2 linked regions of the Caenorhabditis elegans genome follow. Each later gene encodes a partner of the first gene's protein in a complex. Each region holds a gene or a part of one and is shown on either strand. Other genes may lie near its edges. The genes, in order: gplb-1 and gpla-1. A codon is read from its position in the direction of its gene.

Region 1 (11,781 bases):
TTTTTATAGTAAGCGACACAGATTAACTCTTCCTTCTACTTTTTCCGAAATATATATATTTTTAATGAGTTTTTCCATATTTTCTCATTCCGTAAATTCGTGTAGACACAGATCTACACGATCCGGTCCCTTTTTGCCCGTTTGCACGTCTTCAAGTCCACTTCCAACGTCAATCCCTAAATTTGGGCCTAAAATATAATTTATTTTTATACTTTCTTTATTATATTCAATCCACCCAAAACAACGGGAATGGATAAATAAACTTGAATTCGTGTAATAATTGTGTTCTGTTATTAAATCCTCACAACATGCTTATCCGCGCGTCCTTCGATATTATGCTCCGAGTCCATCCGCGCGAATTGACCGTCAGTGGGTTTCCGACTCCCTTCGATTAGCTGACGTGTCAACAAACTTTGTAGTTGATCACTTTGTCATAAAAAATTATTACACTGAGATATCAGCATCCGAAGTGAGTGCGTTTTTTGAATTTTGAGGTTCTACTATACCTCAGGTTTTAGTCAGAATTCGTGTTCAGAACATCTAAACTAGATAAACTACAAACATTGCATTTTTCTATAACATCTGATCAAATTTTGAAATGTTTTCAAAAAAAGTTTTGAAAAAAATTTTGAAAATTTTTGTAAGGGGTAAAAAAAAAAAAAAAAACCTCATTGCCAACTGTCCTATGCTAAAACCTTTGCAATATGCTTATGCTGACATTTTGAATATGCTTATGCTGACGTGCGCTTATGCTGACAAGAGCTCTCACGAGAATTTCGTGATCCAAAAAACACATTGAAAGCTTATATCAGGACACTTGACGACGTAAAAGAAAACTGAACCTATCCAGATTCGAACCAGCAATGACTGTATCTGAAGACCGTGCCCTTAACCACTACACCAAAAGGGCGAGAGGTGCGCGCGTTCTCAAGGAATATATGAAATCAGTCGAGCTGTATGACAACTAGAGCTTCTCTCGATTGGAAGATATCTAGTACTTGAAAATGTGTTCATAAAGATTGGAACTACTACAGAATAAGTCATTAAGTTATTTTCTGTTCCTATTGTTCAGTTTCTACAAGAAATCTATTCCACATTGACTTTTGTTGTGAATTTGAACCTTCCGTTGACCTAAAATACTTCTGGAGAGCTACTTTTTTCGAGAGTATTCTTAAGTTTTCTACAAATTCAACTTGTTGGATAATCGGGAACTTCTCTGATTCCTCGAAAATACTGTTTAAAAAAAAATTTTGGCCTAAATTTTTTTCCTCAAAAACACCTTCATTCTGGTATTTTCTAGGAGCATATGTCATCTGTATTGTTTAATATTTTTTTGTTGCTTCAAAAGATCTGTTTTTGTGCTAAAAAAAGAACTTTTTCGTTGATTTTTGCATTTAAAAATATACAAATGTCGTCGAATTAAATGCACGATACGCAAAGGTACGCAAACACCGATGTGTACCGTACTCCGAAATGTTTTTAATTTCCATGTTTTAAATTAAGAAAGCGACAAAAATGAGAGTTTTAAGCACAAAAACAGAGCTTTTGAAGCAAAAAAATTTATTAAACAATACAGATGGCATATGCTCCTAGAAAATACCAGAATGAAGGTGTTTTTGAGGAAAAAAATTTAGGCCAAAATTTTTTTTTAAACAACAGTATTTTCGAGGAATCAGAGAAGTTCCCGATTATCCAACAAGTTGAATTTGTAGAAAACTTAAGAATACTCTCGAAAAAAGTAGCTCTCCAGAAGTATTTTAGGCCAACGGAAGGTTCAAATTCACAACAAAAGTTAATGTGGAATAGATTTCTTGTAGAAACTGAACAATAGGAACAGAAAATAACTTAATGACTTATTCTGTAGTAGTTCCAATCTTTATGAACACATTTTCAAGTACTAGATATCTTCCAATCGAGAGAAGCTCTAGTTGTCATACAGCTCGACTGATTTCATATATTCCTTGAGAACGCGCGCACCTCTCGCCCTTTTGGTGTAGTGGTTAAGGGCACGGTCTTCAGATACAGTCATTGCTGGTTCGAATCTGGATAGGTTCAGTTTTCTTTTACATCGTCAAGTGTCCTGATATAAGCTTTCAATGTGTTTTTTGGATCACGAAATTCTCGTGAGAGCTCTTGTCAGCATAAGCGCACGTCAGCATAAGCATATTCAAAATGTCAGCATAAGCATATTTCAAAGGTTTTAGCATAGGATAGTTGGGGTTTTAGCATAGGATAGTTTTTTGAAAACTTTTCAAAATTTGATCAGATGTTATAGAAAAATGCAATGTTTGTAGTTTATCTAGTTTAGATGTTCTGACTAAAACCTGAGGTATAGTAGAACCTCAAAATTCAAAAAACGCACTCACTTCGGATGCTGATATCTCAGTGTAATAATTTTTTATGACAAAGTGATCAACTACAAAGTTGTTTATCTTAATATAAAGTACAATTTTGTAGTTAATAGTTTTTTATCAAAAAAATTGTTGGTTGAGATATGAACAGAAAAAGAAGAAGAAAATACAAGCATGAAGGTGCCGAACTTTACACAACTTTATCTCGACCAACAAATTTTTTGATAAAAGACATTCAACTACAAAGTTGTACTTTAGATTAAGATAAACAACTTTGTAGTTGATCACTTTGTCATAAAAAAATTTTCAACGGAGATATCAGCATCCGAAGTGAGTGCGTTTTTTGAGCTTAGGGATTCTACTATACCTCAGGTTTTCGTCTGCAATCGTGTGCAGAACATCCAAACTAGAAAAAACTACAAACATTGCATTTTTCTGATCAAATTTTGAAAAGTTTTCAAAAAAAATTTTGGAAAATTTTATTAGATAGAGGTAGTCAAAGAGCATTTGAAGGAAGTCAATGAGCATTTATACATCAGATCTCATCTCCATTTTTCCGGAATTTCAGGAAATGAGAAAGAGCACAACCTTCTTAGACATCAAAAACTAACATGTTCTTGAAATTTCTGATTGCGGCGGAAAAAACTGAAAGCGGAAAAAAACTGAAAATTCTGAAAAATTAGATAAAGGTAGTCAATGAGCCGAAAGGTAGTCAATGATCTAAGGTAGTCAAAGAGCAAAAGGTAGTCAATGAGCCGAAAGGTAGTCAATATTCTAAGGTAGTCAAAGAGCAAAAGGTAGTCAAAGAGAAGGTAGTCAATGAGTGTTTGCCACAAAAACTGGACAATTAAACAACTAGTAGCTTAAGTTGACAAGTTGCAATGTACATCCTCTTCTCATTTCGATAAATCAAAAGTTTTGATGAAAACGAGGTTCCTGAAAAAAAGCGGTGTGACAGGGAATTTGCGGAAATAAAAAAAAAATTATTATACTTCAGTTCTTTTTCTTTACGAATTAATCACAAATGTGTTTAATGTAAGAACAATACATGATGCAGAAAAATGTCCATATACTACTAGTAAACTAGAAAATGTCAGCAAGTTAGTAAATCTGAGTTCAAAGTAAATGAACTATTTCTTAGTAAATGACTGAGAGTAAAAAATGAGTAAATTAGACCTTGAAGTAAATGAACTCTTTTTCAGTAAACGAGAGAAAGTGAAATCGCTAGTAAATTAGACGTCGAAGTAAAAGTGCCACTTACGTAAACGAGTGATTTAGTAAATTAGACTATTAGTTAATGAGGGTTTGCCCTAATTTTTCTATGCACCTCCTTTTAGAATTTTCAGGAGAAAAATGGATTACTATATGAATCGCATTTCGAGAAATTCATAAATCTGAGATACATGTAACTGCTACAAAAATTTTCTCGAAATAATCTTGGAACTCTCGAATAAAACATTCAACAGGAAGAAAAAAGAAAGAAGAATATAAATTTAACAAATTTAATACTAAGAATTCGGTTTCAAAATTTAGGAATAGGGTATGTAATACATTGATTTCAAAAATTAAAAGTACGGGGAAAATTTTTTCGAGAAAGAAAATAAAAAATTTATGCAGAAAGTGATCATTATTTTGTTAATTGCAAAAAACATTATCAAGTTGGAAGATGTTGTCATAAAGTCATCAGAATGATTAGATTGATATGAATATATCTCATATATCAAAACTAAAAAGAATGGCAAATGGGTGTGGTTTTGACCACTGATTCTTCTCTCTGTCTTCTCCTTCTTTTTCTCTTCTTTTCCTTTTCCTTCACTTTTTATCCAAAATTCATTGTTTCTGAAAATGTGATGCTCCGGAGATGAATTTCTTGCCTTCTCGATTCCAAATTAAATTCTTCCCGCCCGTCTTTTCGTGCAATCTGGAGCTGTGAGCGTCTTTTTTGTTGGTGAAAACAATGTGTTCTGGTGGTGGGTGTGGTGCTCTTTGGCATCTGCTAACAATTTCAAATTAGATCCACAACTATTTCTGAGCTCCTAGAACTATTTTTCATTGTTGACGTTAAGCTCTTTTGAAAAAAATGCTTATATTTCCCGTGATCACTATACTTCATATATTTTTGGTAACTTTTTGAAATATCTTCTAAAATGAATTTAATATGTAACAATATTCTAACAAAATTTTTAATATTGATCAGATAGTTTTTCCAAATTTAAGTATTAACCAGGCGCGAAATTTTCCGAATTTTAGGCCAAAAATACGGTGCCCGGTCTCGACACGAATTTTTTTATTAGGTAAAAATGGGTGTGTGCCTTTAAAGAGTACTGTAACTTTAAACTTTCGTTGCTGCGGAACTTTTGTCGACTTTTCATAGCTATTAGATAAAAATAAAAAAATATTCAATATTTTCAACAAATCTTTAGAAAAACTATGTAAAATCGATAAAAATTCTGCAACAAAAATTTGAAGTTACAGTACTCTTTAAAGGCACACACTCGATTGTATTTAACAAAAAAAGTCGTGTCGAGACCGGTTACCGTAATTTTTGCGCAAATCGGAATAATTTCGCGCTTGGGTAATAAGCATCACATCTCCAACTAATTTAAAAGCAAAAGTGTGATTTTTAAATTCAGATTTCGGTTGAATCTGGAAAAGAATGCGAGTTTGCAATGCGATTGGTCCCAGGATTCAATCCACTTCGTCAAGTTGATGCAAATGGAAAAGAATGCCGAGGAAACGTGGAATTGCCATTTTGCAAGGGTTACTGTAAGACTAGCGAGGTGAATTTCCTTTTTTTTCCGATTCAAAAATAATCCAATTAAATTTCAGAGTGGCACCCATGGCTTTCCACCACGAGTTCAAAATAGTAAAGTGTGCACATTGGTCACCACTTCAACTCGAAAAGTAGTTCTTGATGATTGTGATGATGGAGCCGATGAGAGTGTCAAGTTTGTAATGGTTCCACATGGAACTGATTGTGAATGTTCTGCAGTTCCACTTGAACAACATCATTCATAAATTATCATACATTCATTCAAAAATTCATCGAATAAATAAAAGTTTTGTGTATGCTTGTTTTAATCAAATACAGGGTTAATTTTTAATATAAATAGATCGTGGAATAATCAATTCACAATTTTGTCGTTCTGTCTCGTCCCATTTTCATTCGTTTCGCATCAAGTTTCGCTGGACTTGGGGATCGTGACCGATTGGAGTCTATCTGAAAAATTTCAAAAAGGTGAAAGAAAAAATGACTTTCAAGAAACTCACAACTTTCTTTGAAACGAGACATGTTTTGCAGTAATATTTGAAACTAGGTTCCGATGCTTCTTCAATCGAAACTGTAGGGATACTGCATGCCATGTGGTAACAATCTCGACATCTTCTACAAGCGAGAACTTGATTTCCAGCTAATGAGACTCCGTGGCATACTGCACAGGGCTGGAAAATATATATTTATGATAACATTTGTTTATTTAATTATTTTACCTGTTCACTTGTACAATAGATTGAATCGTCAATAACTGGCACTAGTTTCTTCAATTTCTTCTGAAAACATAATTTATTTTGAAAATAGATCCAAAATTAAAAATCCCTTACCATTCCACCAGGAGCAGAGGACGATGAAGCACCAGACTTGTCTATTACAAATCCAGATTTATTTAAAATCTGTGGAGGAGCATACATCAATCGTTGAGTTCCGGCAATTCGTTTTTGTGGATTCAGCATATTTGGATTGAGTTTCGAAACATTACCCGAATCCATTGTGAAAGAATCTGTGTAAAAGTTGTTTGTGCTGGAAGAAAGTGACCATGTCTGAAAAAATGGATGAGATATTGATTTCACAATTCATATTTCATGAAACCTTGGCAACCAATTCAGAAAATTCTTTATCAGTGCTTTTATCGATAGATTTCATAAACTTGATGAGTGTCGAAATGTATGCATTCGCATCGAATTTTTCTTCTTCAGGAGATTCTGACGTGTCTTGTTTCTCATCAATCATCAGAATATCATCATCAACGTCTGTCATCTTTATTTAAAATCTGAAAATTTTTGATTCGTTTTTTTCTCATTGGTGAGAACGAGGAGGAAATAGAACGGATTGAACTTTGAACAATTTTTGAAACATTTTGAATAGAAATTCTGTATTTTTATTTTCAGGATACTTTTATAATAAGAATAACAATCAAAAACAAAAAGAAAAATAAGCCTATTAAAAATTCTAAATTACAAAAAAACAAAATATCGAATCAAACAACTGGTGGCATCAATGGATCCTCTTCTGCTTCCGCCTCTTGAAGAATCTTGTCCTTGTAGTCCATATATCTGAAAATTTCCCATTTATCTCTAAAGTTCTTTGGGAGTAATTTTTTCACTTGTGTAGTGGCTTTTCGATTTTTTCTGAGAAAATAAAAACTGCAAAATCTAAAACAAATATGTTCGATTTTTAAAAATCGGGGAACAAAATGTTCGGGAAGTTACCCATAAAACGCAATTCTAACTTTGTTTATGCTGATGACTATTTCTCGAAAAATCAAAAATTCGTTTCGAAATATCGGAAAAATGAAAACTAAAAACATTTTTAACCGGTTACCTTGGTATTATTTTGTTTTTTTTCGTTTACTTTTATTTCTATTTTTTTCAAAATTTTTAAAATATTGTTTTTCAATAAGTTTCATTTCAAGAAAAAAGCGTTGCTGCTACACCAGGGCTGTATCCTTATTGGTTATTTTGGTATTTTGACGAAAAATTGATTTTTTGGTTTTGAAACCAAAAAACCGAAACATTTTTCAATTATCAGCGTTTTTTGAAAAGTAATTCAATTTTTTTTGGTTTTTCGCAAATTTAAATTGTTTTGTTTTTTGATCCAAAATTATTTTTTTGGTCCCAGCCCTGTGCTACACAAGTGACGTTTTTTAATTGTTAATTTTCCAAATATTAACCTGTATTTCTTATTCATCGGCCCAGCTCTATGCATTTGTGTGAGAAGTCGTTCTTCAACTCTTTCCAATGCACTTCGTGACAGAACAATAGTATCGTATTTCATTAATGAGAAGCAATTCAGACCATACACTGGCATCACATTGAGCCACGGAAGAGCTTGTTGAGCTTCAGCAAGTCCACCGCTAATCTCATCACAATCATCAACGAAAAGAACAGAGTATCCGTAGTTTCGAGCTTCGCAAAGCTGGAATTTTTGAAATTAAAACAGAAAATGATTTTTCTATAGATAACTTACATCAATCCAATATTTAGGGTCTCCATTCTGTAAGTTTTGAATTTTGTCAACAATATGCAAATCGTCTTGTGTGTGCTTTAGAGTGAGAGCAACACAAAGTCCCTGAATTCTGACTGCGTCTGGAAGCATGTAGAACCACGTTCTCGGTCCACGAACACCATTTGCGAAACCTCCTCGAATAAATTGTGGGGAACGAATAGAACCAACGTGAGCCCGTCCAGTCTTCTTTTGAGGCCACGGCTTTCTACCCCCTCCGGGCATTTCAGCTTTTGTCAACATTTTCGTCATTTGCACATTTCGATATACACTTTGCCACGTGAGGTTACGGTGTAGAATATCGATACGCGGTGATGTTCTGAAAATGTCTGGATGGAGATCCACGAGTCCGAGCTTCTCATCTTCGATGGTATCCAAATTTGAAACCCAAGCTTGTGGAGTTTTGATGAATGGATTTTCTGGTTTTCGCCATAATTCTCTTCGTGTATCGATGGATTCGCCAGATGAAGTCGAGGAAACATCCTGAACAGCCGATGAGAATGCTCGACTTGAAATTAAAAAACGCAGCTGCCTGGAGAGCATCTGAAAAGGGATAAGGTGTATAAATAATTTTAAAAAACCAAAAAAAAAGAAAGATATGTTCTAACACTGTTCGTTTACAGTAGTGATTCAAAATTACGATTTGAAAGCAATATTTTGATTTTTTAAATAGGTAAACAACTGGATATTTAGAAAATGAAGAAACAATCAGAAAACAAGGAAAACAAAAGATCTAATCAAAAATTTTGAAATCTTGAAACTAAATACTAAAAATTAAAATTTATTTTCCTTGCTGCTGACGTTTTCGTTCTTCTTGTCCTTTTCGAACGGCTTCCTTGAACATTCTGAGCAAATATTCAGTGGATTGTGGTGTATCATCGTTTGCAGGAACCAAATATGTCAAGTAAGCCGGATCCGAATTCGAGTCAACTACTCCAATTGTGGGAATCGCCATTTTTGCGGCTTCAACGATGGCTGGATGGTTTTCGCCGAGTGATGTGAGGGTTGACAGGAAGCAGACAGCATCTGGAAGTCGAACTGAAGCTCCGAGAAGTTGTCGAGTGTTCGTTAGAGTTCCTGATTGCCACTTTCGAACGTGAGAGTATTGCCCAACCTGGAAAATAACACCTTTTCAAATTTTTTTTTGTAAAATTTTTTTGCTTGATTTTTAAAGATTACTGTTTAAAAGACATACATTTTTACAGTAACATTCACAACTAGAAAACAATGGTGAATATTTTCTGAATAAAAAAAAACAGCTCAGGATCGCAAATTCCGCAGAAACAAATAATCTCGCAAGATTATTAATTATCGGATCAAAGTATGTTCACATCACTGCTGTTATGAAAACTCGAACCATGAATCATTTTCCAATAGATTGGTGTTCTCACCCCTACACCACCATGCACACTGTCTCACCTCATCTGCTGCCTTCTCAACATCAAACATGGTGTCTCGATTGGAAGTGACAAAAAGAATCATTCCACCGCGCAATGACACATGAGCAACGAAATTTAGAGCTCTGACGAGATATTTTTTGGTAATATCGAGGTCGAAGAGGCAAACTCCAAGACGTTCACCGTACAGGGCCCACTTCATATTGTTGTTTACTGTTCCGACCTAAAAAAAATTATATTAGTTGTTAATTCAACTTCTCAAGCTTAAAATAAATTTTAAAAAATGCGAAAAAATCCCGAAGTTTTTTTCGTAATTTTCCAGTGCAATTTTCGAAGAAAAGAAAATTGGGAAATCGACTTTTAAACGTATTTCATTCATTTTTTTTAACAGTTAGAACCGCCTTTCTTTAAATAGACTACCTTATGTCCGTAGTGAAGTCTTGCTTTAAACATCTCATCGATATGGACCATTTTTTCAAAATTAAATAAATCTTCATGTTGAAGTGACGCGGAAACGAATGGCTTCAACACTGTTGGCTGGACTGTTCCTTTTTCAAGAGTTGCACGATCCGGAACAGACGACGATGATGAAGTAGATGCAACTGGTTTCTGGAAACAAAGAATTCTAAATTATATTTTTGGTAAATGGTTACCTGCTGCGACGCGGAAAATCGTGTCGAGAAGGCTCTTTCTGTACGGATTGCAGCTGCTACAACTCGTCTCATCTGGAAATTCGTGTTGAAAGAAAACATGGTAAGTAACTAGTAAGTTAGAAAATAAGTAATAATCAATTTGGATACAGAAACCAAAGAATCGATAATTCAAAGATATTTTGCAAACTGAAAACAAACAAGTTCATAGAAGCATAAAATTTGATTTGAAATGTATTTCGATATCTCTGAGAACAATGTGAATGTACTGTACCAACCGAGAAAATTCGTGTGCTATGAAAGGAAAGAAGACGGGGAGGCGGGGTTCACTAGTCTGAATTACTCAATCAATAAAATATGAAAACAAAAATCGAAATATGAATAATTATTTAGCTGATTATATAAAATACATGAAAGAAAAACACGGGGGACTTATGGCATTCTATTGAGATGATTCTTGAATATTTCTGAATCTACTGATGGATTGTGACTGTTGGAGAGATCGCAGCAATAATTGGCAAACAAGAGTAGAGTTGTCATCACTTTTTGCTAATTTTTAGACATGGAAACATTGGAATCTCTTCTGAAAACGACCAAACGACATTTCTGTCCGTCAAATCAAGTTTCAGAACTCTGCAAGCAATAATGTTCGATTTCGCCACGTGGATCAATTGCCTGGAAATAAGAAGATTTTTAAACGACCAAACAGCATCAACCAACATCATTTCGCGATTTTGCTCCACAGAGTTATCGATTTTTTCGAGATGTTCACGTGCTTCATTGAAACTTTTCTGAGCTTGATCGATCAGTGTCTCAATCTTGTCTTCATACATTTGGTCAATTCTGAAATGCGAATAATTATTTGTATACCCATAAAATGACATTTTTTAAAAACGCAGTAAACGCTTACCCCGAATCACTTTTAAAACGTTCGTAATCCACACGAACTGGAGGCCCAAGTGAGTCGAATGGTTCGAATCGTCTTTCGAATCTTAGTTTTTCAGCATCATCTCCACCCTTCGGCATCTTGATGATTCCTTTACGAATCAGAACAACTGTCAGTCTCACAACTCCATCAGAAATCATTGAAATTGCGATTTGATTGAGAACACTGAATTGATGAGCAGCGACACGACGTTTCAACTCTTCTCCAAGTTTACATCTCTCTTCCCACAGTTTTTTGTTTTTAGTCTCTCTCAGTGGATCTGGAAAGTGCATAACAGAAAACGGCTTCATGTCTTTGTTCAATAAATTTTTTGAACCCTAACTGTAACAATTTGATGGTTTTCACTAACTTGCTTGATAAACGTTCAGCTGAATTTCTTGACTCCGTTCCAAAGTTGTTCTCATCCAATGTGCTTGAACTGAACCAATAAACCAGTAAATGTATGGGAACTCGTAAGGAACGTAAAGGTCCATTCGAAATCCAAGTTCGAAATAATGGTTAATGATTGCAAGAAGATTGTGAAACACAAATGTAGCCACTGAGTGATATGAGTAGTTCTGCTCTTTTGCTGCAATGATTTATTTGTGGAATTACTGGGAATTTAGAATAATTTTTAACATAATTTTTTTAATTTTAAATTATCTTACCAGTAACCATTTTTCCGCTAAGCAATACTTCATCAGTTCGCTCTTCCAGTCGTCCAGCATATGAATGGATTTGACCAAGATCTTCAATGGCCATCTCAAGACGATCTCTTTGACGGGATAAATTGCATCCAAAACTACCATAGACGGTGATTGCGAGTTTTGACATGTGATTCAAAAATAACACATATAGACTTTGAGCAGTTTGATCTTTGTAAACAGGAGATCTGAAATAATGAGATAAGTTCGTGATGTATTCTTGTTGAGAAGTACTCACACTCTATCAAGAATTTGTGGGCAGAAGCAGTTGCTCAGTGAGTATTCAACGGCGTCAGCAATTGATCGATTCTCATCACCACACAGATGGTTGTCGACTGGGAACATGCAAATTTGAAGAAGAGATCTGGTGAAGACGCATGCATTCTGACCGAAAGTTCTCGCAAAGTAGAACAAATAGTTCAAATCTTTTGAAGTTTTTGGAGTGACAATGCATAGGTGATATATTCTTTCAGCAC
Region 2 (12,361 bases), 3.5 Mb from region 1:
GAACAATTTCTTATAGTTTTCATATTGTGAATTCCATTCAAAATCAATGTCGTACCTAAATAGAGAGCACTATTAGTTTCTAGATTAAGAAATAAAATCTCACCTGAAATCATCTCCAAGTGGTTGGAAAATCACATTATTCTTGAAAAGTTGACTTTTCTTTCTATATTGATCATAAATCATTTCAGCTCTGTGAGCCACATTGTCATCGTTAATTTTCTGTGGAGGGATTCCCCAATCACATGATTTTCCACCTTCTGGCATTCTACGGAAATCGAATTGACAGCAAACAGACGGTTCTGGGCCACACGTATGAGGTATATCGTAAGAGTAGAAAGGCATAATATGTGAACGAAGATCAGGATGTCCAGTTGATCCAAATAATTGTCTCCAGTAGAATTCAAGATTCTTTTTCAGAGCAAGCTCACGTTTCACCGAATAATGAACTCTGGAAATTGAAAATATTTTACTATTTTTAAAAAATAATGTTCATACCTTTGAATTACAGCATTGGTTATATTAGCAGAAGTTAGAAGATGTGGCATTGATGGTGATAAACCGAATGGATCAATTGACCAATGAGATTGTGGAATGGCGCCTAAATATTCAATTTATGCAATATTCAAAAAAAAAACTTTTACTCACTTTTTCCCAAATGATTTTGAATCCATTCATGTCCTTCGAACAATTCAGTGATCATTGAGTGATAATGTGCATTAGCTTCATCTGTCATAACCCATCCGCCAGTAACAATTTCAAACTTTCCTGCTTCCAAATATCCTTTAACTTTCTTTTTAATTTCATCTGCCTGGTCTCTCCACCAAGTTTCGAAAAATGATATTTCTGCATATATAAACCGCATTTCGTCTTTTTCTGCCAAATGTTTAGCCATTCCATCAAGAATATTGCGAGTTTGTCTGTTGTAATACTCTTCGAAAGTCATAATCCATCCGGGATCACAATGAGAATGAGGTATCACAATAACTTCCAAACGTGGAAGAGATTTGACTTTCTCTGCATCGTATTCAATTTTCCATCCTTGTTTCCATACACCTCCGTCTGGATTTTCGAACTTCCAGGTGTCATAGAGATCGAGCATCTTAAAAAAACAAATTTTATTAAAATATAAATAAAATTCTACCTGCAGGTCTGAATGAGCAATGCTGACGTTTTCTCTAATTCCACAAACATCTTTCATCGATGGAGTTGGCTTGATATGTTGCTTTACTTGATGAATATGAGCCATTTCACCACGATTTCCTCGAACTGGAACTGGTGCAACTTCTTTTTCCTCTTTTTCTACTTCTTTTTCTTCCGTTTTTTCTTTTTCTTCATCAAAATCTACCGATTTTTCAGCTTTTGCTCGTTGAACTTCTTGTTCCAAGCGGTCTATCGTTCTTCCATTTTCTTCTGCTACATGCTCCAAATTTCCGATTTTCCGCCGTAAATCATCTACATATCTCTGAAATAAATTTAAGTCATATTATTATAATCTTAATTTGAAAACTTGCTTGTCGTTTGGTGAGCGCTTCAGCTCCGGTTTCAATTCCATTGTACAAATAGAGTGATACGGTGAGAAAGACTCCCAAACATAGGATAATATAGAAATTGCGTTTTCCCATGCTTTATCTTGCCATCAGGCTGAAAATTATTCAGTTATATATGATAATCAATCAAAGACAAAATAAAACAGGTTCAGAAAATGTAACGGCATGTCCAATAAAATAAGTTGTTCTCTCCAATAAAATATGTGTTTACAATGGAGCGAGGTGGCATAGTACTGACCTCACTAAAAGAGGAATTGTGACTTTGGAGAACCACAGTTTCAAGAAAGAATTTTGTACTTAGCTTTTTAATTGTGATGTATTTAATAACATTCAAAAAGAAAATAATTGTAAAATTGTTATTTATTCAAAAATTCTTAAAATCATTTTCTAAATATACATAAATATGGCGAAACAATGTTCTCTGGAAATCCGTTTCTCCGGCACAGAGGTGTCTCGACACATTTTTTTCTCTCACAAAAGTATTGCACAAAAACCCTCTTAATTTCCTTTTTTTTGCATTTTTATGTGGTTTGAAACTATTAAAAATAACTAATTTAGTCAGAAAATAGGCCAAATGTCTACATCATATTTTCAAATATTAATAATCGTCAATATTGCGCTCTTATCAGTAGTTTATCGTCTATCTTTGCAAAGTTCCTTGCACTGTCTTTTATTCACAATCAATATTCATCTATTTTAATGTCATCTCTTTTCTGGTTTCAAAAATCATGACAAAAACGAAAACAACCATTTTTCTTCATCACTTTCACTACTAATTTAGTTCAAAATAGCCCAATTCTTGAAAATTCCAGCCGCATTCCAGTCATGACAACCACTACTATTCAATTCAACGCGCTGCTCCTAGATATTGAGGGTACAATAACCAGTATCTCCTTTGTTAAGGTTATTTTTTCTTCTATTCTATTTCTTCCATTTGATTATCAATTAAAGTTTTTATTTTTACAGGATGAGCTTTTTCCATACGCGTTCGAGAACGTTGGAAATTATTTGGAGGAGCACTACGACAATCCAGCAACTCAAATAATTGTTGAAGATTTGAGGCACATTGCAGACCAACAAGCGGAAAATGATGTGGCAGTTGTGTTAGTATTTAATTTGCACAGCTTGTTTTTATCGAATTTATGTACTTTACAGGCGGATCCGCGAACCAAGAAAGGAATGCATTGAGGATGTAACAAAAAATGTCAGACACTGGATAAAAAGAGACAAAAAAGTTTATAGAGTATTTGAGAAAAGGTGTTTAAAATTCAATATTTTCCAGCTGACACCAATGAAAGCTCTCCAGGGGCTCATTTGGGAAGAGGCTTACCAGCGCGGAGATGTGAAAGGACAGTAAGTAAAATCGACAATAAATAAGTAACACGTATTGTATAATTTTACAATTTCAGTGTATATCCGGACGTTTTACCAGTTTTGAAAATTGTTGAAAATAGAAAAATCCCGATCTACATCTACTCATCGGGATCGGTCCACGCTCAAAAGCTCTTGTTTGCCAATTCAATTGAAGGAGATATGACCAAAGTATAATATTCTTTCCACAATCCATTTTAATGTTTTCTTTCAGATTCTCTATGGCTACTTTGACACAAATATCGGTCTGAAGGGAGAAAGCAATTCATACACGAAAATCAGCGAGCGAATTAAAATTCCTCCCAGTGAAATACTATTCCTGACTGATGTTGAAGCAGAAGCGGCTGCTGCCAAGAAAGCTGGGTTACAGACAAAGTTAGTAGTTCGTCCTGGAAATGCGGGTCTAACACAAGAAGCTATAAACGCCTACGGAACCATTGAAAGTTTGGAAGAAATTTTGTAATTCTTTGTATTCATTGTATTCTTTCCTGAAACATTGTTTGGAGATCTTTAATAAAGCCTTCGGTGTAAAAATTGGTTTTCTAGCTTATTTCGAGTTTTCATTGGTCTCATAAATATATTTACAGCTTTTTTGAATATTCAAAACTCCGAATTTGAATTCAGAATGATAATACGGTGTTTTCAAAATTTAAATCAAAGTTCATTGCATCTATATCGAGGAATTTGTACTTCTCGTCCGTCTTCAAGCGTTTTCGATAAAATTAAAAATTTTCTACTGGCTGTAAGTTGAAAATATTGAAAAAAACTTTGAATAAAGATTAAAAAAATTGCAGGAAGAGCGAGAAAATTTCGATAGAGACAATATTCGAAAAGCCCACCAAAAAGACAACGTCGACGAAAAGGAATGGGCATTGATTTATAGAGATGTTGGTAAGATTTATGTTTTCAAAATGTAAAAAAAAGGTTATTCGACAGATTCAAAAAAATTTATTATCGAAAATAGTTTTTTGCTAAAGTGGACATTTCACTAATTACTAACAATGCATGTTCTCAAAACTCACTGTTCTACAAATATTCGGATTTTCCTATTCTCGATGAAATCCGGATTTTTTTTTCGAAAACAGAAAGTGAAACAATTTTTTTAACACGAAAAAAAAAACGATTTTTTGCTTAAAAACATTATCAGAAAAAGTTTAAAACTTTGCCCAAAATTGCATGTTTTTCCAAAATAATTTTGAAATTAGAATTAAAAAATTTATGAATGTTTCTGTTTATCAGAATTTTTGCTCACTTCTTTTTCGAAAAAAGAGAAAACTAACATTTTCGCCATAATCATGCAAAAAATAAATATTTACAACCCTGAAGATGTCAAATAAATATATAATATTTATGTCTGAATTCAAAAAATTACACTTTTTTTCTTGATTGTTCTTATTCTTCAGGAGCATCGAGAACATTTTACATGACTGCTGCTTTTGTTCCATCCTTCATCGTTGGCTCTTCAATTTTTGCTTTCGATGTCAATTCAAACAGTCCTGGAAATCGATTCGATTTTGTGCAGAAGCTAGTGACGGATTCAGAAGAACTTGGAGTTCTCATTGCACTTCCATCAGTTGCATTAGCAGTTGTATTTGCCTGTTTAATCCGTGTTCAGCAGTTACGACTAATTAGGATATACCAGAATAAAAATGACGCGGAGCAGTTTATGGCTATACGGTCGAAATTCATTGTTAAGCAGCACAAAGTGAGTTTTTAAAAATTAACTTTCGTTCTTAAAAAAAAAAACTATCTTGAACAAGATTAAACATTATTAAAAAATTCCAGGAGCTGTTCCGACGAGATGAAACAACTGGTTTCTACTTCGCAGATGATCAAACTGACGGTGTCCGAGTTGCAATGCATTTCTTGTTGGGAAATATTCAGATTGGAAGTCGAAAATCCATGATCATAGATGATATGTTTAGAGCAAACAATTATAGATCTTATATGCTAAACGAAACGAGTGTTCCTCCAAGGTTATAGGAAAAATAAAAGTTTATTAGGTTCTTTTTCATTTAATTAAAAATATTCCAAAAAAAGGACAAAGTACAAAGGTACAGTACATGAATAATGCACAATTCAAACTCATTTTCTGTTGGCTAGAGGTATCATTCAATCAACATTGTCAATTGTTTATTTCAATAAAGAACATTTTGTTTTTTGTTTGGCAGACAAGAAAATAGAATGAGAGAATGTGAGACGCAGAGAGATCAACTTGGTAATTTTGGTTTTTGTTCGGTTTCATTTGAGACAATTTATGTCAGTCATCCTTCTTTCGCTTTGATTTTTTGCATTTTTAGATGCCCGTATCAACGAGATTATTATAGAAATAATTAAGGGAACGAGATTTTATGGAAATGTGGATGAATGTGGCACTGGAGGAGAGAAAATAAATTAAATCTATTATGCAGGTAAAACTCAAGAGATTCAAGAATGAGAAATGAAAGAGATGGAAACTGCAACTATCGAACAAGACAATCAAAACATTCACATTGTGTTGCAGATGGTATTCGAAGATTTCGGTTTCCTTTGGAACATTTTAATTCTGTTTCAAGCTGAAAAATAAAAATTGATTCTTGGAAAACAATATTAAAACATCTCGTAGCGATACAGTAATTCTTTACATGACTACTGTAGCGCTTGTGACGATTTACGGGCTCGGCTTTCGAAATGAATTAATCATCAATTTTTCGATAGAATGTTTAAAAAAAAAACAAAAATGAGAAAGTAATACAGAGAAACGAAGGATATATCGCAAATCAAGTCCGTAATTCGACGCAAGCACTACAGTAGTTATTTAGAGAATTACTGTAGCTTTCGCTACGAGATTTTTTTTACATGTTGCGCAAAACACATTCCCAGAATTTTGGCTTCCGTAATAACTTTGTTATAAATTTTCAGAAGTCATTTCTGTAGTTAAAAAATACTAACCATTTCCCATTCAACCATCCGGCAGCACTTCGCATGCACTGAATATTTTTTCGTTAAGGGATTAGGAAATGTAAATGAGAAGCAATGCCCACTGCATCGATTGATTCGAATTATCATCAAATCACAGCCTTCTTCATCTATAAGTTCCTCCACTCCTGAAAAAAAAATTTAAAGGACACTGATCGAAGTTTAGTAGATTTCGTGACGTACCAACTTTTTTGCAACTATTATTCTTAGTAACACCTGCTGTGCAGTACTGTAATAAGCATGTCACAACAAAAACGCTTAAAAAACAACTTAAACGTCGTCGTGCTCGTGCTTTGGAGCCCATCATTTGAGAAGGTATAGGCTGAAAAGTTAAAAATAGAATTTAAAGAACACAGAAATTTTGGAATAGATCTTGAGTAAAAAGCGAGAAAAGATGGAGACTTTTGTGTCCTTATTAACGTGAATTTGATAAGGTTCTCTGCATTGGTTCCGTGAAACAGATTATAGTTGGTTCATACAACCGGACGAGATTATTAAAGTATTGAAAGAGATTGGTTTGCGGGATGAGTACTGTAGTTGTTCAATTAAATACATGAAAATGGATACATGCGAACCATGTAAGAAAATAAAAATAATACAAAGGTGTGGATGAAAACATTGGGAAAAGTATCGAATTTCCAGATGGAAAAAAGGACAACGAAAGCGGATATAGAAGCTAAATTCAGAGAAGAAACCTTGTTTTGCATTTTTTCGTCTTATCTTCATTATTTTCTTACAACACAGATGTTTCATCTCGTCAAGTTCGTCTGATCATTTGTGATTCATTATTTATTTTTAATACAAAAAAAAGCTTTGTTTGAATATTGAAAAATAGGATTCAAAACACAACCAAAGAACAGGAATGATTAGAAATACATTACATCATTTCTCGCATACTTTAGTAGGCTTGTTATTTCGAGTTTGCAAAAGTTTTTTTAAAGTTTATTTGTTAAATATTTGCTTCATTAGTATGACTGAAACAAAACCTTGAAAAAATTTCTTTACAACTATATGGAACAACAAACACAAGTGACCTACTGATAGAGAAACTACGGTATTCTGTATATTTTGAAACAAGTCAAACTCATATTTCTTTTATTAGTATTGACTTTATTACACCTATACTTAACTTTTCAAACTCCTTTACAACTTTCCCTCATGGTACTTGTTCGCTATCGCAATCGAGTCCATATTTAGCCTTAACCTATTTAGCCTTACTTTAATAATTTATATATCGGTTTATTTTACAGATTTTGAAAAATGATTCTTTAACAAACTGTAAAAGAAGTAACAATTTTCGTCAGCTGATAACATTTTCATATAACAAGCAAGACTTTTAGAAGAAACATGCTGCATGCAACACAAAAATTTACAGAACAGTTCATCCGAAAATAGTCACCTACAAAATTAGAATGACGATGTAGAACTCTGCTCTGTAATTGAAAATTACAGCGAAAAATGATAATTTTCGAAAAGTGAGCATTTTAATTCAAAGACTATAACAGTCTATGATTTGATTTGTTGGAGGTGAGCCTCAAGCTAAACTATTTCTAGTTTTGGCAAAACTTTTTAACTGGTAAACGGTTTTCAGAGCTAACAATTTTTAAAGCACAAGTCATCAAAAAAGTAAGTAGAACTACGTGTTATGCTTTGGCACATGTGTTAATTCTTATCGAATTCGTGAGTCTTGAAAAATCATGTTTCTATGAAAAAGAGTGAGTACAATATCAAATTCAACACCAGTGTCAAAAACCAATATCAAACACTGAAAAAGTCGGAAAAATCGGAAAATTAGAAAAATGAAAGGCAGAATGAGTGAAAGCTCACCGAGCACTGGAATAGTGCAACGAAATTAGCCTCAAGGTTTCTAATTTCTAACAAAGAGGCTTTTAAGGATTTCAAGAACAGTGGAACATGAGACATCAGAATTCTGATGACTTAGAAAAAAGGAACCGGTTAACCCTACATTTGAGACTGAACACACCCACTTCCCACGTTTCGATAAGAAAAAAAAATGAAAACGACGTCTTAAGAAGAATGGGTTTCGAATTTCAGTCAAAACATTCATATTCAATATGATATCCAAATATCCTGCTCCTCCTCTTCACACAGTAAACGATCGTTCTCGTTCTCTCTCAGTTTTTAGGATGAGAGAAGGACAAACACAAACACGTACTACGTCAGAAAATGTAGAAAATGACCAAGAAAACCGAGAAGAAAGATAATATGAAGGATGAATCGGAAAGAAAACAGAAGGAGAGCAACGATATGATGAGATTGGAAGACAAGAATGAAACAGAAGAGAGGACGCCCACCACTTGAGCCCTTGTTTCAAATGGTGCTTAACACATGCATCTTCCCGATATGGACGACGATGGCGTGAGAGGCAGTTTCTAAGATGCTTCGAGAATAAGATACAGCCGGATATGTACTATGACGTGGAATTAATTTATAATTAGACAGCTCAACAATTAACTTTGATAATTTTATACATTTACCGGTATCCTTTGTTATTTGATTACTTGCAGACTATTCAAATGAGTATAACCCCAAGCCCAAGAAGTATTTCTTGTGATTTTTTCTACATGTGCTCTGCAATAAATATAGCGGCAGACATCTTAGGAGTTTCTAGACCATCTCTCCTGGATTCTGTGTAACTCTAAAACTAAGCATTATTATCGTGAAAGACAATGACAGTAAACTGATCTTTATGTAATGTTACATGAATGTCTCTAATAAATATTGGTTATTTAAAAAAATTTTGATGTGCTCTTTGCATCAGCAATCGGCTCAGTAACTCTTTAAAAAATGTTGTCCAGAATTTAGCATGCGTGGGAAGATATTAGCTATGTTTCAAATCTATGCAAAATGAACCAATATTTCAATGACACAATTTAACATATTTCATATTAGGAAAATTTTGAACAAACGTAGCATAAGTTACTCTTTTTTTTCAAATGTTTGAAAGTTCAAAACTGGTCGCTCACATGTTATCAAAAGTACAGACGAAAAGAACGAAAAAAAGCGAGTTGTTGCAGTGATTCTCATCAAAATCGTATAGATGTCCGGATATTAGCCCAACTCTTTATCGATTTTTCTTGTATCCAGGAGATTTTTGGTTTAATTTCGATAGACCGATAATAGAGGAGACGTGTTGATTGTATGCGAAGTATAGAAACAAGAAACAAGAAACATAGAAACAACGTAGATATAATTACACAAAAATTAAAAAATAGCTCTGCCCACTGGGCTTTCTGCAGTTTTTTTTTTGGCAAAGAGGAACAGATTAAGATAATATCACACATTACAGTCACCTTCATAAAAATTAAACTAAAAAATGCGATGTTTTCTTCACTCAAAAACTTTCTAACTACAGACAATCTCAATTGGAAGTTGAAACTACTTTAGTACTAACGGAACCAGACACTACTAAAAGTTCAAAACCACACCTATGACTAAAAGCCCACACTTTTAAAGGTTTACATTTTAAATGAACATGAAATCATCTGTTGCACAAAATATGCTTTGAACATCCTCTAATACTCTACTAATATGGTTTAGTCATTGTTTATGTTTGATTTAAGTTTTGAAGATTTCTATGGTTAATAGCAAAACTGATAAACTTGAACTATTAAAATGGGAAGTTTACATTTGAAAAAGGAACCATGATTCACTGTTTTAGTCACAAGAATGGTTATTTTTGGAAGATCAGTTGCGAAAACAACACAAATTATTTTTTAAAAATTTAAAAACTTATTAACCAACTGATATTTAAAATTTTAGAATATTGGGAGGTTAACACACACGAAGCTGGCAAAAAAAACACAATAGAATATCTGAAAATAAATTTTTCAATCTTTTAACATACATCATATTTGAGACTGATGTCTATAAAATACTACGGTTTACTGATAAAATACATTAAGTAATGCTTCTTTGATTTGATGTTCATTTTTCTCAAAAATAGGTCAATTTTGCATTATTACACAATTTACACGTTTCAAGAATTAATGAATAATCCCGGAAACCATATATTCGGTCTTTGAATTCCCAAAAAAAAAACGATGATACAGAAGATGTAATGCTCACGGGAGAGTCAAAACAAGGACAACAGAAAACAATAGATGAGTGAAATGCAAAATATTGTTGAAATGACCACTATTAGATGAAATATTATAAACAATGGTCAACTGTACTAGAGACCCGACTAGATAATACTCATTTAGTTGATGATGCTGAAAATGGGAAGATTAGAAGAATAGGTGGAGAGTGTCTAAAAATAGCGACAACAGTGGCCGTTTCAGTCTTTGTCTTCTCAATTTCTCTGCGCCTCTTCTCACTGTCTACCATCTCATTCAACTCTTTTTCTGTATTATTATCAGTTAGCAGCTCCTCTTATCAATTTTGAATTTCGCGGGGCCTCTACTATCGCCACGAAATGATCTGTTCGAAATTAATGACGTAATCAAATTTTCCAAATTGCCAAAAAATCGGTTGCAGGTCAGAAAAATAATTGATAATAGCAAACATTTCACAAATGTTTTGGTTGGGCGAGTGAGTTTTTAATTAAAATTTAGATGGTATGGAATACTCTGGAAATTAGTTTTGAAAAAAATGATATAATTTTGTTGTGGATACAATGAAAAAACAACAAAAATATACAAATCCCTCGAGAAATGTCGAGAAAAATAATTATTTTTTAGCTTGTGAATTTGTCGCAAATGTACAGAAAACTATTTGTATACATGTTTTCGAATTTATTTGAAACATGGACCCCAAAACTGGTATCGGTACATTTTGAGTTGTAAACTTAAACACATTTTATTAGTTTTTTCAAACACAATTTAAAACAAAATAAAAATAACTTCGATGTGGACCAGAGAACATATTTTTATTTTATTCAATTTTAGGTGAACAACCTAGGAAGTGTTTAAAAAATGTAGAGATTTTTGTCCGGTTTGTAAGGGGAGTAGCCTTACCTTTTCTGATAGAATGCTTGTTCTGAAAATCTTAAACACCTTATTTTGTATTTGAAAAGAGAAGCCGTTTTCCTACGATGGAAAAAATTAATCAATGTTTGAACGATTAATTTTTATCTGTAGATCTTATAAACTTAAACGAGTTTTTCACTTTCTGCGACTAGACATTCTAAAGTGTACAGAAAAAACAAGATTTTCCATGAAACATTCAGAACGCTAAGTTACAGGGTTTGCAAACTTACAATATGCAAACTTATCAGCAATACTTTGAAGGGTAATATTTTCATTTCGAAAAAAAAACATTTAAAAAAGTGTTTTGTTTTCTTTAGTAAATATCGTTTCACGCGTGACCTTTGACTGTTTTGATTTTTAAAAGTTCCACGTAATTTTTCCACTCGGACTATCTCGCTTAAATTTCTTTCATATATTCTTCATTCCTCACTATTATTATTTCAACTTGACAACAAGTCCGAGATAAATAATCTACATCCTCATGCATCATGTCGAAGAACAACTCCACTGCAAACGCTACTGATCATAATGTGTAAGTTATGAATTCCTTTCCAGATGATGATTAATAGAAACTTAACTAATAGTAAATTAGAACAGTAAAATTCACCTCGTTTGTGTTAGTATCTCAATCAACAAGTTGTCAGGCACGTGAAAAGTTGAGCCTTATTTTTCCAATTGAAAAAAAAACGTGGAAATTATTTAACGTTTACTTTATAAATACAATGGAAAGTTAAAATATGAACATAATTTATAAATTTGAATCAGTTATTGTTGTTTTTAACTTTTCATAATTGCATTTATTTCTGCTTATTTTGATTTCCAAGAGACACTCAAACAAACAAAATTTTCGTATTTCACATGCGTCACTAACGTTTCCAGAAATTTTAAGTTTTCGTAAATTTAGAAGATATTTGCAGAACACTTGAAATTAATTCTAGAACATTCGGAAAGTTTCCAGATCATTTCGATATTCTTTGTATGAAAAAGGGTAAACTCTTGCCTTTTCTGTGATTAGTCTTGCACTAATAAAAAGCAATTGGCATTACACCATTAAAGTAAACACACTAAAGTACATAATTACGTTGTTAAATTTGAAACCTGGTAAATATATATATATATCATGTTTTAGATCTAATAACATAGTTATTTCATATAACAATAAATTTATTAATACAATTTTAAAGTGCAAATTTGAAAGTACATTTTGATAGTAACTGAGAATTGTCTATTTTTATGAAATGCATTCCATTCAACTCATATTAAAATAATTTCAGTGAAACTTGCACCGGGGACATCTGCAATGGGTTCGGAGAATGCAGAGTCCTGAATCCCGGAATGCTGATTGAAAGATTCGAGTGCATGTGTGATCTCTGGCACACTGGACAACTATGCCAGTATGATGTTCCCTTACCAATTGCGATCACTATCACCACTACATTGTTCACCTGGCTCATTTTGTTCTTCTTTTGGTACTCTTCGCGTCGTTTTGAGTAT

The links.
Region 2: the proteins of gplb-1 (region 1) and gpla-1 are in contact, whole or in part, in a crystal structure (PDB 8ENF), measured with the Caenorhabditis elegans proteins. Residues at the interface, in NP_001367962.1 of Caenorhabditis elegans: Val30 (codon at 5,030), Phe33 (codon at 5,039), Leu52 (codon at 5,096), Pro53 (codon at 5,099), Phe54 (codon at 5,102), Cys55 (codon at 5,105), Lys56 (codon at 5,108), Gly57 (codon at 5,111), Tyr58 (codon at 5,114), Cys59 (codon at 5,117), Lys60 (codon at 5,120), Thr61 (codon at 5,123), Ser62 (codon at 5,126), Glu63 (codon at 5,129), Ser64 (codon at 5,181), Gly65 (codon at 5,184), Thr66 (codon at 5,187), His67 (codon at 5,190), Gly68 (codon at 5,193), Pro71 (codon at 5,202), Arg72 (codon at 5,205), Gln74 (codon at 5,211), Ser76 (codon at 5,217), Lys77 (codon at 5,220), Val78 (codon at 5,223), Cys79 (codon at 5,226), Thr80 (codon at 5,229), Leu81 (codon at 5,232), Thr83 (codon at 5,238), Val105 (codon at 5,304); in NP_505998.3 of Caenorhabditis elegans: Asn36 (codon at 6,078), Glu45 (codon at 5,996), Ile47 (codon at 5,990), Ile57 (codon at 5,960), Ile59 (codon at 5,954), Arg61 (codon at 5,948), Cys62 (codon at 5,945), Gly64 (codon at 5,939), His65 (codon at 5,936), Cys66 (codon at 5,933), Phe67 (codon at 5,930), Ser68 (codon at 5,927), Phe69 (codon at 5,924), Thr70 (codon at 5,921), Phe71 (codon at 5,918), Pro72 (codon at 5,915), Asn73 (codon at 5,912), Pro74 (codon at 5,909), Leu75 (codon at 5,906), Lys78 (codon at 5,897), Tyr79 (codon at 5,894), Val81 (codon at 5,888), Ala83 (codon at 5,882), Cys85 (codon at 5,876), Cys86 (codon at 5,873), Arg87 (codon at 5,870), Met88 (codon at 5,867), Trp91 (codon at 5,858), Leu107 (codon at 5,434), Arg108 (codon at 5,431).

Annotation. Positions count from the first base shown.
Region 1 is NC_003283.11:8,463,656-8,475,436, reverse strand, and holds gplb-1 (Glycoprotein hormone subunit beta domain-containing protein), read left to right. Parts: upstream 1-4,404; 5' UTR 4,405-4,431; coding exon 4,432-4,473; intron 4,474-4,984; coding exon 4,985-5,131; intron 5,132-5,180; coding exon 5,181-5,369; downstream 5,370-11,781. Other genes in the region: phf-30 (PHD-type domain-containing protein), read right to left, coding at 5,482-5,571, 5,622-5,792, 5,841-5,900, 5,952-6,167, 6,217-6,384; mrpl-4 (Large ribosomal subunit protein uL4m), read right to left, coding at 6,605-6,680, 7,298-7,542, 7,594-8,172; mrps-2 (Small ribosomal subunit protein uS2m), read right to left, coding at 8,411-8,743, 9,049-9,249, 9,447-9,635, 9,680-9,751; natc-1 (Protein MAK10 homolog), read right to left, coding at 10,216-10,351, 10,397-10,519, 10,587-10,881, 10,972-11,190, 11,270-11,493, 11,544-11,781.
Region 2 is NC_003283.11:11,931,606-11,943,966, forward strand, and holds gpla-1 (Bursicon), read right to left. Parts: upstream 6,201-12,361; 5' UTR 6,184-6,200; coding exon 6,060-6,183; intron 6,005-6,059; coding exon 5,850-6,004; intron 5,474-5,849; coding exon 5,381-5,473; 3' UTR 4,902-5,380; downstream 1-4,901. Other genes in the region: aman-2 (Alpha-mannosidase), read right to left, coding at 1-55, 104-448, 496-598, 646-1,099, 1,142-1,462, 1,512-1,622; F58H1.3 (Enolase-phosphatase E1), read left to right, coding at 2,373-2,450, 2,514-2,650, 2,703-2,781, 2,830-2,900, 2,957-3,089, 3,133-3,381; F58H1.8 (uncharacterized protein), read left to right, coding at 3,544-3,660, 3,713-3,809, 4,322-4,623, 4,704-4,901; F58H1.6 (EGF-like domain-containing protein), read left to right, coding at 11,356-11,399, 12,142-12,357.